Oryzias latipes: one gene and its partners. The protein of the gene in region 2 interacts with the protein of the main gene of each other region in a pairwise test. Links are inferred from orthologs where the notes say so. Each region holds a gene or a part of one and is shown on either strand. Other genes may lie near its edges.

Region 1 (5,040 bases), on a different chromosome or scaffold from region 2:
TCTCAAGTTTTGCATAAAAAAGACAGTCTTTTTCTACTTAGAATTTAGTTTTTTGTACCATTTAAGGTGTATTGCGTAACATTTTGAAATAAATATATTTATTTTTTTTACAAAAGAAGCTGAGGTTTTGCAAACAAAGATCGGCTCAATAATGTGATTTGACCCTTTCACACCTGAATTTATTTCCAACTATGAAAAACGAAAAGTTTACTCATGTTTTTGCTTTCGAGTAGATTAGGGTAATTTTAGAATCGAAAGGCTTTGATGTATATTTCCATCAATAGATTAAAAGTCAATACTAAGAGCAAATTGTAGAGTAAAAAAATACTCAAAAAGGCCCTGAACCACTGAGGATTAAAGATATAAAACTCTTTTTTGATCAATAGACACTTATCATAAGACACATTTCTACTTGTCAGAGCAAAATACCGTAATTTAAACGTTTAGAATTTCATTTCAAAAGGGCAGGACAACGCACAATGTTTCAAAAACAATTTACCAAAACAAATTCGACCAGTTCTATTGGCTTTTTTTTTAACTTATCACAAGAGAAAAACGTCTTTTTTTTCCAAATATTTTACTTGTTTTGATGGCATTTTTCCAATTGAAAGGACATATTTAAAAAAAGATAACGCCAAGCTCCTCAGCACCAGCCATTTCTTTAGATTGATGGGTGACATCATGTGACCTCCAATGCGCCCCCTCCGCCCTGTTAGCTGCAGCTCGGGATAAACAGCCTCCACCTGTGAGTCTGCCTTAGCGCTCCAACGACTCAGCTATCTTCAATCAGTAATTTAGTATTTTCAAAGCCAGACCGCCGCCGCCTTGCATCAGCCTGTTTCTCTGATTAGCTGCCAGGCTCGGCTGAAAGAACAAACTTTGAAATTTGTATTAAAAAAACGAAATTTAATGATGACATGACATGTAAAGAGCAACAAAACGGCTTAAATATGACATTTCTGAATAATGTACTGTTACATTAAATATGCGTCAGTGGGTATAACAGCATAAATGGAACATATTTTACATATTTACAGTTCTTGTGCATTTATTGAAGGTTGCCGCACATCCGGCGAGTCGTTCTCACGCAGAATAAGTTCTTCCCGACTGGCATGGTCATATTTTCTCCTCAGAGAGAACCGTTTTTCACAGGACGTGGTAGACGGGTCTGGATCCAGAGTTCTCAGGAGTGCAGGGCTGAGAGTCGGAGCTGCTGGGGGAGAAGGTTGCGGCGTCCCTCAGGGCAGCCGGTCCACCGCTGGACTCCACGGAGGACAGGCGGTCAACAATGCTCGACAGGCACTCCAGGCTGGAGGCGCCGGCTGTCTTGTTGTCCAAACTCTCTGGAATAAAAAAGATGCTCAGTCAGGTTCTCTCTGCATACACGGATCTCCATGAATTCCCCTTAAAGCAGCACATGTCAGACTGCAGCTGCTGTCAGAAAGTCTTACCATTCTTTGTATAAGAATAGCTGCTGCTGTAGTTTGCATTCAGCTGTTGCCACACCGGACTGCTGCCTCCTGCCTGGAAGGGCACAAGAAATGAAGAACTGTCCTTGAACTTTTGAAAACACAGAAACACACACACAACGGTTGCTGACACACAAAAATGAAGATGCAGTGGAAACACAAAAGCTTCCAACCTCCTTTAATATTCTGGACAGGCTTATAAATCCTGAATTCCAAAGTTATTGGCTTCTTTATTTCACCTTAAAGTCAAAGCCCCCCCCTCACCCCCTCGCTTTTCCATGCCCAGTTCCGACTGTGGCGAATTGATTCTGTCAGTGGAAGCAACACCAGTTTGTGCAAGATGACACTTTCTGCGAGTAAATCTGCAGAAAATCCTGGCAGCGGCGCCGAACATGCAGTCAGGATGGAATGCAGGAGTGCGCCCGCTTTTCCCTGCCAGACTTCATAAGCTGGATTTTCTTTGGTTTATTGAGGCTATAAAGCGCCCAGAGAGCATCAGAATGGGTCGCGTTATTGTCTGATCACACTGATGGGTGCTAATGAACGGAAACAAACACAAGAAAATGACCAAGCTGAGGCTGCAAAATGAATGAAAAGAAGAAACGCTGCATGAAAAAGATCCCAAATCGATTTTAGGTGTTTGAGTCTTAAGTGGTCGGCATCCATGCAGGCTAAGTCAGAGCTTCTGTAGATGTTTGAACATGCCTTACCATGCCATCGGAGCAGCTCGACAGAGGACTTCCAGGCTCAGAGCTGCTCTCTCCAGGCAGGCCGTAAAAGTTCTCCACCTGCTCCCGCAGCAGCTCCTGCAGGCTTTCGATGTACTGGATGGCGTTGCGCAGGATCTCCACCTTGGGAAGGCGCTGGCTTGGGTTGGCCGAGGTGCAGCGCCTCAGTGCTTCAAAGGCGTGGTTGACCTTTTTGAGCCGCCGGCGCTCCCGCATGGTGGCCGCCCGTCTGCGGTCCACAAAGCTGGATTTGCGCTTGCAGGCCTTGCAGGCCCACTGGAGGCAGTGTCCCGGCTGGTGGGGGGCTCCGGGAACCCTGACGTGCTCGTCCTCCTCAGAGCCGGTGAGCTCTAGGCTGGAGCCGAACTCCAGGTCGTCTGGGGACAAAGCACAAGCTCTGTCGTAGAAGGCCTGGGATGGAGAAAAAACATCCATGGCTGGGAGAAGAAGTGGATGGCAAGATGGCCAAAAGGGAAGGAAGGAGGTGCTGGATGAAAGAGAGGAGACTTCTGAGTGATATGAGGGGTCTGTTGCCCCAGGCCCCCCTTATATGTCCCCTGGCTGAAGCCCAGGGCCCACATTGGCCAGATCTAATTACCATGGCCCATTGGCCCAGCCTGAAGTTAGTTCAGCTCCCTCCCTGCCCCGTCCCTACTTCTCACCCCCCAGTACCCTGCCGAGTTTCCCACATCTGCAATCACTGGTGTTTTCCTACTCATCCCTGTATTCTCCTGCTTGCTCTTCTTCAGCGAAGATGGTGTATTGAAGACGCCTCTGCACCACCTTTCGCTGTGACACCCCGAATGAAGACGGCGAAGGCAAATTGCCTGGGAAAAATGTCCGGACCACTCTCTGGAGCGCGCGGGCCGCTTTTTACGGCACCGACGACAGCGTTGCAGATGCACCCCAGCTGCAAAGAAAGGTGTAACATTTCAAGCCCCGTGAACTTAGAATGGCGGCAAAGCCCCTCTAAACACCCAAACCCCATCATTCGGGGTGAAGCCATCGCTGGGCCCCAAACACAAACGACACCAACCTCCAAGGACCAAATTTGAACCATTAAAGGTTATTGCTGCCGGTCAGTTTGGGACACAGATGGTCAGGATGCTGCAGCAGCTGAAAAAAAGAGCAAGTTTAAGGAGGGTTCCTCCTTCAGGCAGAACTCCTGACTTATATTCACAAATAACTGTTCACATAAAAATAAATTGATATTAATGGAAGTCTTCCAAACTTTAGTTGGATGTATTTCTAACCTTTAAAATGAGGTGAAATGCATCTGATCGGCTACATTTAGAGGAATATTAAGCACCATCTGGATTTATTTACATACTTCTTGTACTAAACACTCACACGATTTTTCAAATTTTAGCTTTTAAAATATAAATCATGTTAACAAACCACCATGTTTGTTTGAAACAGCAATATAGATGTTGTTCCTTTTTTCCGTTGGTGTTACCCAAAAGTAGTCATTTTACTGTGAAAGAACTACAAGCTTGAGTTATGTTATCTATTTTTGGTGTACATCACTTTGTACTATATTAGAAATGTAATATGCCAATTAAATAAATATTGATTTGGTTTTCAAAATGATTTGATTTGATAAGCAAGAAAATATTAAAATACAATTTATTACACTCTACTTACTGTAAAACAGGTTTTTTCAGCAGGGTTCTACTCTGCAGTACATAAATCTCAGACATACAAAGTTTAGATTTTTTATTTTGTCTTAAGAAGTATTCAGTTAGAATACGTCCTAAACACACATACATGGTCTATAGTATACATGCTGTACTCGGGTTTGCTTAACCACCCTCTAGTATACTACCTTCTGCTTAGGGCAAAATAATTATTCATGATAGTTAGATAGATAGACGGACGGACGGACGGACGGACGGACAGACTTACGGACGGACAGACAGACAGACAGACAGACAGACAGACAGACAGACAGACAGACAGACAGACAGACAGACAGACAGACAGACAGACAGACAGACAGACAGACAGACAGACAGACAGACAGACAGACAGACAGATAGACAGATAGATAGATAGATAGATAGATAGATAGATAGATAGATAGATAGATAGATAGATAGATAGATAGATAGATAGATAGATAGATAGATAGATAGATAGATAGATAGATAGATAGATAGATAGATAGATAGATAGATAGATAGATAGATAGATAGATAGATAGATAGATAGATAGATAGATAGATAGATAGATAGATAGATAGATAGATAGATAGATAGATAGATAGATAGATAGATAGATAGATAGATAGATAGATAGATAGATAGATCTCCATATCAATCGATCGATTAGCTAAAAGTTTTACACCTGAAGTTCATTTTTTTAAGGATACTTCAGTATCAGTGAAGGTCTACTACAGACCCCATACTCGTAGTGTAGAAAGTATACAATTGAATTCTTCTTTAGATTGTATGAAAAACTAAACTTTAAGTATACTGCCTCACTTTTAGTACATAGGTATACTTGTAGTACACTTAAATAGACCACTTTTTGCAATGGTTAATACAGGTAAGTTGTGTTTAAATATAATGTAAACATGACATATTTTCTTTTTTTCCTTAGGAAATATGTTTATAATCCAGTTTACAACTTTGAACTCTGAGCTGAAGATTCTCTTCCGGTCGCTTCTCCACCGGGTGATTCGGTTGGTGACAGCTCACATGGATACAATGCGGATGTTTCTCACAATGTGCCAAAAGCGTTTGCAGCCGCACGCACCTAAGAAAACAGGCACAGCCTTAACTGTGGCCAGGAGTTTGGGTTTGCACACAGCTGAAGAAGACATCGGCGCGCCTGCGCCTGC
Region 2 (4,150 bases):
TATATATATATATATATATATATATCATATACATTTGCAGCAAACTTTTGGCACGGCAGTCCACTGTGGGAATCTACCAGAAAGCAGTTCTGTCTGCCTCTGTCTCCCTCCCTCCCTGTCTCTCCGTTGGAGCGTTTCCCGGCCCATCTGCGGCCTGGCCCGTGGATTACTGTTTGTTAATGTTTCAATCAGCTGTGTGTTGAGGAATGTGGAGCTATTTAACCTGAACTTCCCCAGGTGTGCCGAGGCGCCGCTCAGTCTGGGCCCCGCCGCCCTCCCCTGCCCTTGGCACAAAGCTATCACACAAACACAATCACACACTGGCCACGCCGGGGCTGCAGCTGTGCGCATCGCACCGCAGGGAAATGGGAAAAACATTGCACCAGGGAGAAGGGATAAATCTTAAAACGCATCGCTTTGCCAAAGCCTTTTTAACCCCCGAGGTGCCGAGAGAGACGAGAGGTGCCTATGCACACGACGACACTCTGAAATACCAGAAAACTTTGTGAAACGTGTAACCCACCTTCTACACACAATACAAACCTTTATCTATGATGTTTACGCATGGATTTTACTGATTCATGCGCAGAGCGCACGTGGAATCACTCAGATGATCAAGTTTTATGCTTTTCATCAAGCTACCAACTGAAAAACTTCCTGTTGTATTGTGGATAACAAATGGTTTATCGTCTAATTAAACAGACTTTTTGCCAATTGTGTTTCCCAGCAGTTGCGGTTTGACGTCACCTGAATGACTTTAGTTTCTGGGGCTGCCAAACCTTTTAGTGACAATCTGTTTACCCTGACCAGGATCAGATAAGCCTTATTTCCTCGGAGGAACATTAGCAGACCTGCGTTTAAACTTAGTAATGAGGCTGTAAAACAGGCACTGAAGTAGAGTTTTTCCACCGCAAAGGTATGTGTGAAGATAAATCCGCCCTTCAAACTTTGTGAGGACTTTTCACTTTCGTTCTCGTTAAAACACACACTCAGGAGGATTCTTGTTCAAAAATAAGTCTTGTTTTAATAAAAACACAAAGTACATTGTAAGAAAACAATATCTTCACATATTGTGGCATTGTAATATACAATACAGTTTTGTCGCTCAGGAATCTGAGAAATTACTTTTTTTTTACAGAATGTTGAATTCTCTATTTGATTTACACAAATACAAAGGGCTTAACAAAGTCATTATGAAACTACGAGCAACAAGCTGGTTGCTCTCTGAGCTTGTCTTGGTCCCACGACTAACCCAGTCTATATCTGGACACACGCCGGTCCTCACATCGGAGCTCTCGGATGAATCGAGACCCCGTCACTCTTGAAGCATGTCCTCTCGATGATTTTATTTCTCTAGCTGTAGGAGTTTCAAACTCTCCCTCACAGTTCAAGACTCTAGAGGCCGATGTGCTCTGGCCGCTGCATCAGGTTGTCTTGTCCTCTCTGGAATGATGGGGGTTGGGGGGTGCTCCGCGGACCCTTAACGGCACATGATTCTCTCGTCTGAGCAGCCGTTCTGCGGGAGGAGAAAAAAAAAAGTGGGTCAGAAAGAGCTGGTCACAGATGAGCAACGATTACTGTCATGCGTAAATCGGCACTTTTTACGCACTAGACTGACTGGTCACTTTTACGCACACGTTTTAAATGCATGAATGAGTCACAAATGGCGCGTGTCTCTGTGTGAGACCCCAAAAGACACTTAAAGTGGGCTATTTACCTCCACTGCGATGCTCGCGAGCTCTGCGTTCAGTGTGGTCAGCGGCGTGCGCTGGCCGCTGGCCGCCGAGAGCTGGCGACTCTTCTCCGGCTCGTCCAACTCGATCTGCAGGTCCCAGATGTAGTCGATGACGTGCTGCAAGATTTCCACCTTGCTGGCTTTCTTGTTTGTGGGCAGCGTCGGGACGAGCTCCTTCAGCTTGCTGTAGCAGCTGTTCATGTCCTGGAGAAAGACGCTCATCTGTTCGTCCAGCAGCGGGAGCTTGCACTTGGAGATGGCCAGGCTCTGGTCGGACAGGCCCATCTCTCCGCTGACCTTGGTCTTCAGGGCACAGGTAGATCCGACAACCTTCATCTTTAATAGCGTAGCTTCCACAGACGCTGAAGATATTGGTCTTGAAAAGCGACTGCACAGGTCAATGTTGACAGTTTTCAACATCCACATGGAGAAGCCGTCTCTTTATAAAGCTCAGCAGCGTCTGGGGGTGTGTCCAGATCGTCCTGTTTGAAGGGAGCTGACCAATCCCATGGCTGCATATGCATTGATGGGGCGGCAAAAAACTAAACTCTCAGCCAACCACGGCGCTCGGCTGGTTATCGGAATTTACAATCTGTTTGAGGGATGGCGTTACAAATGGAAACAAATGTGTGTCTTTTATGAGTAATATGTGGGAATCCAGCTGTCCATGGCTTGGGGACTCTGCAGGTGTAGATTGCCCGGGGACAGTCAATGGGTGGTGAATGCATGGGGATGCACTGTGAGAATGTGTGTGGGATGAAGCTGGGCTGAAAAGGATGAATGCTTAATGACAATTTGGCTACTATGGTGCCCTAGATGTGTCTTTCACTCGTGATCGTGGGATAATAGCACTGTGGCGTCACACAGAGCAGGCAAAAAAATATTTGTCACGTTATTTAGTTTAGAATGATCCCAAATGCTCAGATTGAGCCTCTTTGTGCGTAAGCATGTTTCAGGGACGCAGCTGCAGCAGCAGATTCCTCCACATGTGTCTGCTGCGCGCGCTGGGCTTCGTGCGCACGCCCGCGCAGAGTCGCTCCCCCTTCAGATTGTCCAAACAAGCCCGAGCAGACTGGCAGGCGCCGGCGCGCTGACGTCACCCATTCATCCGCGCCTTGACGCCTGTCAGCCTGGCGCCGCTAGGGCGGTCTCCATGGAGATGTCAAACAAGGGAGCTAGCGCTGCGCACTTCTCCATTCACCTGCATGGCGCGCGGAGCCCTGAGAACAAACCGTCTCCAGAGTTTTTCCCCCTCCTCCATTTATCACCTAAAAGCAGCAGCGGGGTGAGATGACCGGCCAGCGCACCTGCGAAACCAAAGCCGGTCAGCTACGACAAATGAAGACCGGTCATCGTGTCCTTTCCACGTTTAAAAACCAATAACCATCACATTCCTCCCAACAGCCCACTTTCATATGGAGAGAAAGTCTAATTTCTCTCCATACTTTCACTTCTCGAAGTCCCTGTGGTTTCCATAAACACGCATTTTCTTTGCTTTTATATTCACTTAGATTGCCTCATTCATATCCAAAAATACGTTTTCGGCTCAAGGAATGCAGTTTCCTTTTTAGCATTTTAATTCCCTAAAGAGCTGGATTTCCTCCTTACTTCTTACTGCCCCTCTTTTTTTTGTTTTTTTTGTTGAAGCAGTCTATTAGATCGTATGGACTTTTTTCCCTTTATCTGAACATACATTTTACTACATATATGTATATATTCTAACAGAACCTAACAGAAAGAAAATGTATATATATAGCAGAGCTTCAATAAGATATATTTTTGCATAACAGCAATCTCTTATATATATTTCCTCTTGCTCAGTACACCTATAACTTATCACTGTTTTTGAATATAACAATGCCAAAACTATAATTTTGGTTCCACTTAAAGTGTTTTCTCAAGTCTTTTTTGTTGTTTTGGTGAATTGGAATTCAAGATTCATTTAGATTAAACTCGTGTTTTTGGTGTTTATACCATGTTCTTGTAGCATTTTCTCACCATGGAGGACATATAAAAAGAAAATTAAGCTTAAAGCTGTGTTTCAGAGTATTTCCTTATTGAATTTACTTGTGAATCGAGAGTAGGTGCAACAGCCAAAAGCTCCCTGCTCCGTTTCATTCCGATGCGTCCACTTGCAGGCAAATTGATCCAGTTACGTTTTTGTTTTCCTTGTCTTTGCTGGAATCTGGATCAAAACTGTACAGCTTGCTAGCTCCTATATGTCTCACCATTGTTGTTGCACTGCTAGTGTTGTTTTGAGGTTGTGAGGGACTGTAAGCTAGCGAGAGAAGTTTAAAAAAAAGAATGATGGTAAACTAGGTCAGGCTTACTCCATACCAACATACAGACAAAATTCCAATGAACTATGGCCACTCTGCACAAAGTACGTCAATGAAAAACAACAGTTTATTTTTA
Region 3 (5,562 bases), on a different chromosome or scaffold from region 2:
AAAGAAGACTGAACAAAAAAACGAACAAAAAACAAATACTATTTTCCTGGCAGGAATGAGCCTCTAAAGGTTAAGAAGACCACAGAAGTTTTGAAAATGTTAAAAAGAATCTGCAGAGCCAAACTAATTAAACAGTTTCCATGTCTGTGAGCTCATTTCCACACGGTGCCACAGCATTGCTGTTCATCAAGGGTGTCAGGGTCTATAGATCCTGATAGATCAGGTTCGGGTCTTGGCTGGAGGCCGGAGAAGAGGTCGGAGCGGCCCGAGGGCCGCGCTCTGTCTCACTGAGCGCAGCGGCGGCCGGGGAGGCAGGAGCATCGGCCGTGGCTGGGAGGCAGCTGCTGTCGGTGGAGATCCGCTCCACAATGCTGGACAGGCAGTCCAGACTGGAGACGACGGAGCTGCGGTCATTCCTGTGGCCTCCTACGGCAGAAAACACCGTCAGTCAAACATGATTCAAACTAGACTGTGAGGTCACTCCTCTATGTGTGAATAAAACCTGTAAACAGCTGTGTGCAGACTATTTATTGGTGTGTGTGTGTGTGGGTGTGTGTGTGTGTGTGTGAGAACCAAGTCATGCAGTTTACTTATGACACTCTTGACTCTGTATTATCCACTGCTCCCCCACCCCCCATCTCTAACATCCACTCTCTCTCTTCTTGTTTTCCGTCCGGTCCAACAAAGAATGCATATAAACATAATTATTATGAATAAAGCCTAACCTCAAATACATAAGGGGTTTACACCAATTGATACCATTGTCCAGGGAAATACTCGATTCTGATTGGCTGCTGGGTGTGGATAAAAATGTGTTAATGTACATCTAAAAAGCAGTTCCGGTCACATATCTTAAATGTTCTGTATCAGAATCTTTAGCTTCATCATCTGGACAAAAATGATCAGTGACAGGAGAACTTTCTCTCTGAACTGATGCTTTATTCAACCCATCGTGATCATCAGCATAGATATCACTTTCCTTTGCCGCACCACTCGAGGTTGGCTAAGTGGCATGTTACTGTGACAACAGGCTGCACCGCATGACAAATAGTTCGCTTTTGTGAAAAAGCAATCTAAACCGTAAAAATGACCAGAATAAAGTACTGGTTGACTATTTATTTATTTTGAAAGTCACCATGGTATAAGTGAGTAGATTTACTTCAAAGTGTTCATATTTTTAATGCACTTTGCAGTTCAACGCAGGCTTACACGGCAAGCGTTAATAATGCACCCTTTGAAGGATATTAACCCCTAAATAAATTGTGTTTGTCTAAAGATCCATAAAGTCCTGTTGTAAAAGTAAAATTTGTCCAACACAAGAGGCCTTCAGCTCTGACATACTTGCTCAGCTGTAAATATAGATATAGATATATATCTATATATATATCCTTTTTCTCATTTATAGAATTTATAGAGAATGTCATTGTTTTCTTTAACCTCATGAAAACTAAATTTATTTAGCAAAAATAAAAGCACATCTTTGGCTTCATGAACAGATTTAGTTAGATTGCAAACGCTTTATCATTTCAGATGAGCAATGCTGTCGGCTGGTTAAAGCGCAAATCGGATCTTTCCTGTGTAAAATGTTGGCGCGTGACGCGGCCCCCTCTGGCCCGCGCGCAGCTCACCGTTCAGAGCCTCGGAGAAGTAGGAGCCGCCGTCATAACTCCCCTTTTGCGTCGTCTGACACCTCGGTCCATTAAAGTCAGTCTGGAATAAAACACAATGCTTTTTTTAGAGCACGCCAAAAGAGTAAATAAAACACAATTTACACAATGTCACATTTTTGAAATATCAACACAAGGGATATTTTCCGATAGTAAACACTCGTGTATTTTTAAACTGGAATATATATATATATATATATGGGCTTTCTTTGAACAAACAAGCACAAAACAGCAGCAACAATATTATTATTTCATCTTCCTGAGTGTTTCGCACGCGTTATAAAAGGAAATTTGTCAAATAATAGAAATCCTAATGACGGGACTCGTATGTTTTATGAAGGAAATTCGTTTGAATAAATCCGGATGTTTGGTGCAAATTATAACCGATTTTTATTCAAGCAGCGAACTGCTCCAAACGACGCTGTCAGTCTATTCAAGAAATACGTAAAAAAGATTTTCACGATTAAAAAAAAAAAAGAAAAGGTTTTACGTTTAAAAATCTTATTTTCGGGAGAGGTAGTAACTGGTAATCCTCTGAATTAACTGAGTAACGCGCCTGTATAATCGAATCTAAAACGGTGAAAGTTGCCTTTCCTTTTTCTTTTCTTTTTTACTGAAGTTTTGTAAAAACTTGTGCCGTCATGAAACGACTAACTAAGTCAAGACTCCATGCGTAAAGACGCGCTGTAGCTCCAGCCTTCGCAGCTTGTCCGAACAGCGGACTCACCATTCCGTCAGAGCAGTTGGAGCGGGGGCTGGACGCGTCCGAGTCCCCGCTGTAGTGCTCCAACACCGGGTAGAAGCCATCCTCCTGGCCGGCGCGCAGCAGCGCCTGCAGGGACTCGATGTAGCTGATGGCGTTGCGCAGGATCTCCACCTTGGGCAGCCTCTGGTTGGGGTTGGCTGACGTGCAGCGCTTCAGCGTTTCGAAGGCGTCATTGACCTTGCTGAGGCGCCGGCGCTCGCGCAGCGTCGCTGCCTTGCGTCTGTCTGCGTTGGTGGTTTTCCGCTTGCAGGCTTTGCAGGCCCACAGCAGGCAGCGGCCCGCCTGGTGGTGGCCACTGGGCGCACGGACGTGCTCATCGTCCTCCACCTCCGCGCGCTGGTGCACATGGAGGACGGAGGACGGGGAGGAGGAGGACGAGCAAGGAGAGGATGAGGGGGAAGAAGAGGAGTCATCCGGCTTCAGCAGACCGCCATGGACTAGCCGTGGGTCTAGGTCCTCGAAGAAGTGCATGTCACTTGTGTTAAAACAGGGGTCATCATAGAAATCATCAGCAGCCGGGATGGGGAAAGGAATATCCGACAGCTCCATGACCCGGTCCAAAACAGGCCCGCAGAAAAGAAATACTGAGATCAACGGGCCGAGCCGAGCTATCCAGCAAACCGAAGAGAGACTCGCGATCCGCGGGTCCGGTAATGTGGGTCCTGTCAGGAGTTTTGAACTGGACTACTGCTGACCTGAAGCCTCTTATACCTGGCACATCAGCAGCAGGCAGGGGGGCCAAGGGGTCAGAGGAGTGTGACCAATCGGTGGGCAGCTGCAGGGGTGTGCGTGTGTGTAAGTGGAGGGGTTACAACTGCACGGTAATTAGAGGCCTGCAGTTAACGGAACAGCTAAAGGAAGGCCGCACACGCATTTCCGCCTTACACACCCGTGTTCAAGCGCCTCTTTGAATGCGCACACACCAGAATTTGGGGCTGTGGCGTCTGGAAGGCTAGCGGTCGCACATCACCAGCAGGTTTTTAAGTTGGGTGCGGAGCCTACAAACAAATCAAGCGTTCGTTGGTCGCGCGCTGAAAGTTCAACCGGTTGAACTTTTTCACGCTGAATCTCAGCAACGCAGCGCTGTGACCAATCAGAAATTAGGATTTGATAGTGTTTGTAGCGTCTTTTCAAGAAACAGTTATCAACCGTTGTAAACATGATCACTAAGGAGAAATGAATAATTGCGGTTTGTTTTTGGCCGGAATAAAATGACACCAAGATGGACATTTATAGGAACAGATCTGTGAAAACAAAAAGGCTGGAGCAAGATTTGAGGGAATTGAACCGCTTTGATTTTGCAGATCGAACCTCTTCCAATAAGTTGATTTAATTACAATAAATATATTGTAGGTGGCGGAGGAGCGCTGATGAAAAGAAGAACCGCCCCTGCAGGTACCTGCGTGTCTGGCGCTGGTCCGTCCGGTCTGTACACCGAATGAGTGTTCATGAAACTGCGTGGAGCGCGCTCTGGAACGCACCTTCACATGCGCACACACCACTCTTTTTTTTGTTTTCATTGTAAGTAGGAAAAATGAGGCAATTCAGAATGTCAGAGACAAATGAAATGTTTGCACTGAAAGAAAAGACTGTCAGCAGAACATTTAATGAGCAGCAAGAAATGTGTGAAAAGCTGGCAATGCAAGACGAGCTTTGGTTGTTTTTAGAGCTATTTTGAAAAACAAATGAAGTCTCTTTTTTTTTTAAAAAACACCACAAAGTTGTTGTTTTAATGGAGAAAAATGGCATGAAAAAAAGGTTTTGCTTTCCCATATTCAAAAAGTCGGTATTTATTCTAAACTACAACAATAGTTGTGAAAATAATGCTAACTGAGTGTCTCTGTGCTTTGGTTTTCATGTATTCACATCAATTCTACTCAGAAATGATCTTAATAATTTTCAAAATCTACTTTTCTTTTTGTTATTTGCACATATTTACGTAGGACCAGACAGAAAAACACTTAATATGTGCGGCCAAGAGACACATTGTGGTGTTGATCCCCCCCACACATTCGCATTGCGTCTCAGGGTAAATGTTGTCGTCAGTGGCGGACTTTAGAGTTCGGAGGCCCCTGGCGAATAACAACGGTTGTATTTTATTTTTTAAATCCTTACATTTAGGGTAAAACATAAGAGAACTTTCTAGCTCTGTTATGGAGTTCAACAACCCAGATTACAGATATCCAGCTTGACTCCTCCTCTTGACATCAATTTTTTTACCCAGAAGCGTCGCTCAGCAGGGACTCTAGTAGGCGTGGTTACGTCATCACATGTCGAGCACATTGACTGTCAGCAGTCGAGCTGTTTGTTAAGACCAGACATTGTTGCCAGTGTGGGCTCATTGTTGTGATGGGAATCCTGGATCGGCTCACTAAAAAGAGCCTCTCAGCTCCCAAAAGACTTTTTTGGTTTTTGTTGCTTTATTTCAGTCAGAATGAAGCATATAAGATGAATAAGTGTAAAAAAAAAGTTGTTATTCATACATGTGTATGATATGTATGTTATTTATTCCTTCCAGATAAAACGTGCAAAAAAACAAAAAAACAAAACCAGCTGTTTACAATTCAACTTTTAATTATTTATATTTTTATCTTGCTCTTATTAAACAAGTTTGAAGCGAATCAACACAATCCGGAATAAAAGTAAAGATGTGCAAGCCGAAGAAAAGACTAAATATTTGGCATTTAGAAATTCCAAATGTCTATCAAGTTATATTTACGCCACCACATAGCAAACAAAACTTTCTAAGCTGCAAATGAAAATATTAAATATTTGCTTTCACATACTTTTTCTTTGCTTTCAAAAAATTTTTTTGCGTGTCATAGGTTTCAGCTTAGCGTGACATAGCTGCCATATGTCACACTAAACTGAAAACGCGAGACATTTTTAAAAGCAAAAAAAAGAAAGCGAAACCAAAAAGTATTTGAAAGCAAACATTTAATATTTTCATTTGCAACTTAGAAAGCTTTGTTTGCAATAAGGTGGCATAAATATTACTTAATAAATGTTTCAGCTTTGAGGAGCTGATCTGGTTCTTTCTGCTTTGATCTGTCCGGTTCTGGAGAAGATTCTCTCAGGTGTCTGGACAGGTTGGTTGTGGAGCTGCTTTTATATGGAAACTATTTTCCT

The links. The genes of interacting proteins can lie anywhere in the genome.
Region 1: the proteins of DNA-binding protein inhibitor ID-1 (region 2) and myf5 interact in binary tests that used the Homo sapiens proteins (3 or more experiments, as listed by UniProt). The link is inferred for Oryzias latipes from reciprocal best matches to the Homo sapiens genes ID1 and MYF5.
Region 3: the proteins of DNA-binding protein inhibitor ID-1 (region 2) and myod1 interact in a two-hybrid assay, tested with the Homo sapiens proteins (5 studies listed by BioGRID). The link is inferred for Oryzias latipes from reciprocal best matches to the Homo sapiens genes ID1 and MYOD1.

The regions. Positions count from the first base shown.
Region 1 is NC_019881.2:19,172,780-19,177,819, forward strand, and holds myf5 (myogenic factor 5), read right to left. Parts: upstream 2,908-5,040; 5' UTR 2,633-2,907; coding exon 2,180-2,632; intron 1,525-2,179; coding exon 1,452-1,524; intron 1,344-1,451; coding exon 1,147-1,343; 3' UTR 886-1,146; downstream 1-885.
Region 2 is NC_019863.2:26,015,435-26,019,584, forward strand, and holds DNA-binding protein inhibitor ID-1, read right to left. Parts: upstream 2,167-4,150; 5' UTR 2,162-2,166; coding exon 1,718-2,161; intron 1,517-1,717; coding exon 1,481-1,516; 3' UTR 999-1,480; downstream 1-998. UniProt on the Homo sapiens protein: Transcriptional regulator (lacking a basic DNA binding domain) which negatively regulates the basic helix-loop-helix (bHLH) transcription factors by forming heterodimers and inhibiting their DNA binding and transcriptional activity.
Region 3 is NC_019864.2:6,432,365-6,437,926, forward strand, and holds the start of myod1 (myoblast determination protein 1), read right to left. Parts: upstream 3,186-5,562; 5' UTR 2,983-3,185; coding exon 2,395-2,982; intron 1,711-2,394; coding exon 1,629-1,710; intron 427-1,628; coding exon 203-426; 3' UTR 1-202. UniProt on the Homo sapiens protein: Acts as a transcriptional activator that promotes transcription of muscle-specific target genes and plays a role in muscle differentiation. Together with MYF5 and MYOG, co-occupies muscle-specific gene promoter core region during myogenesis.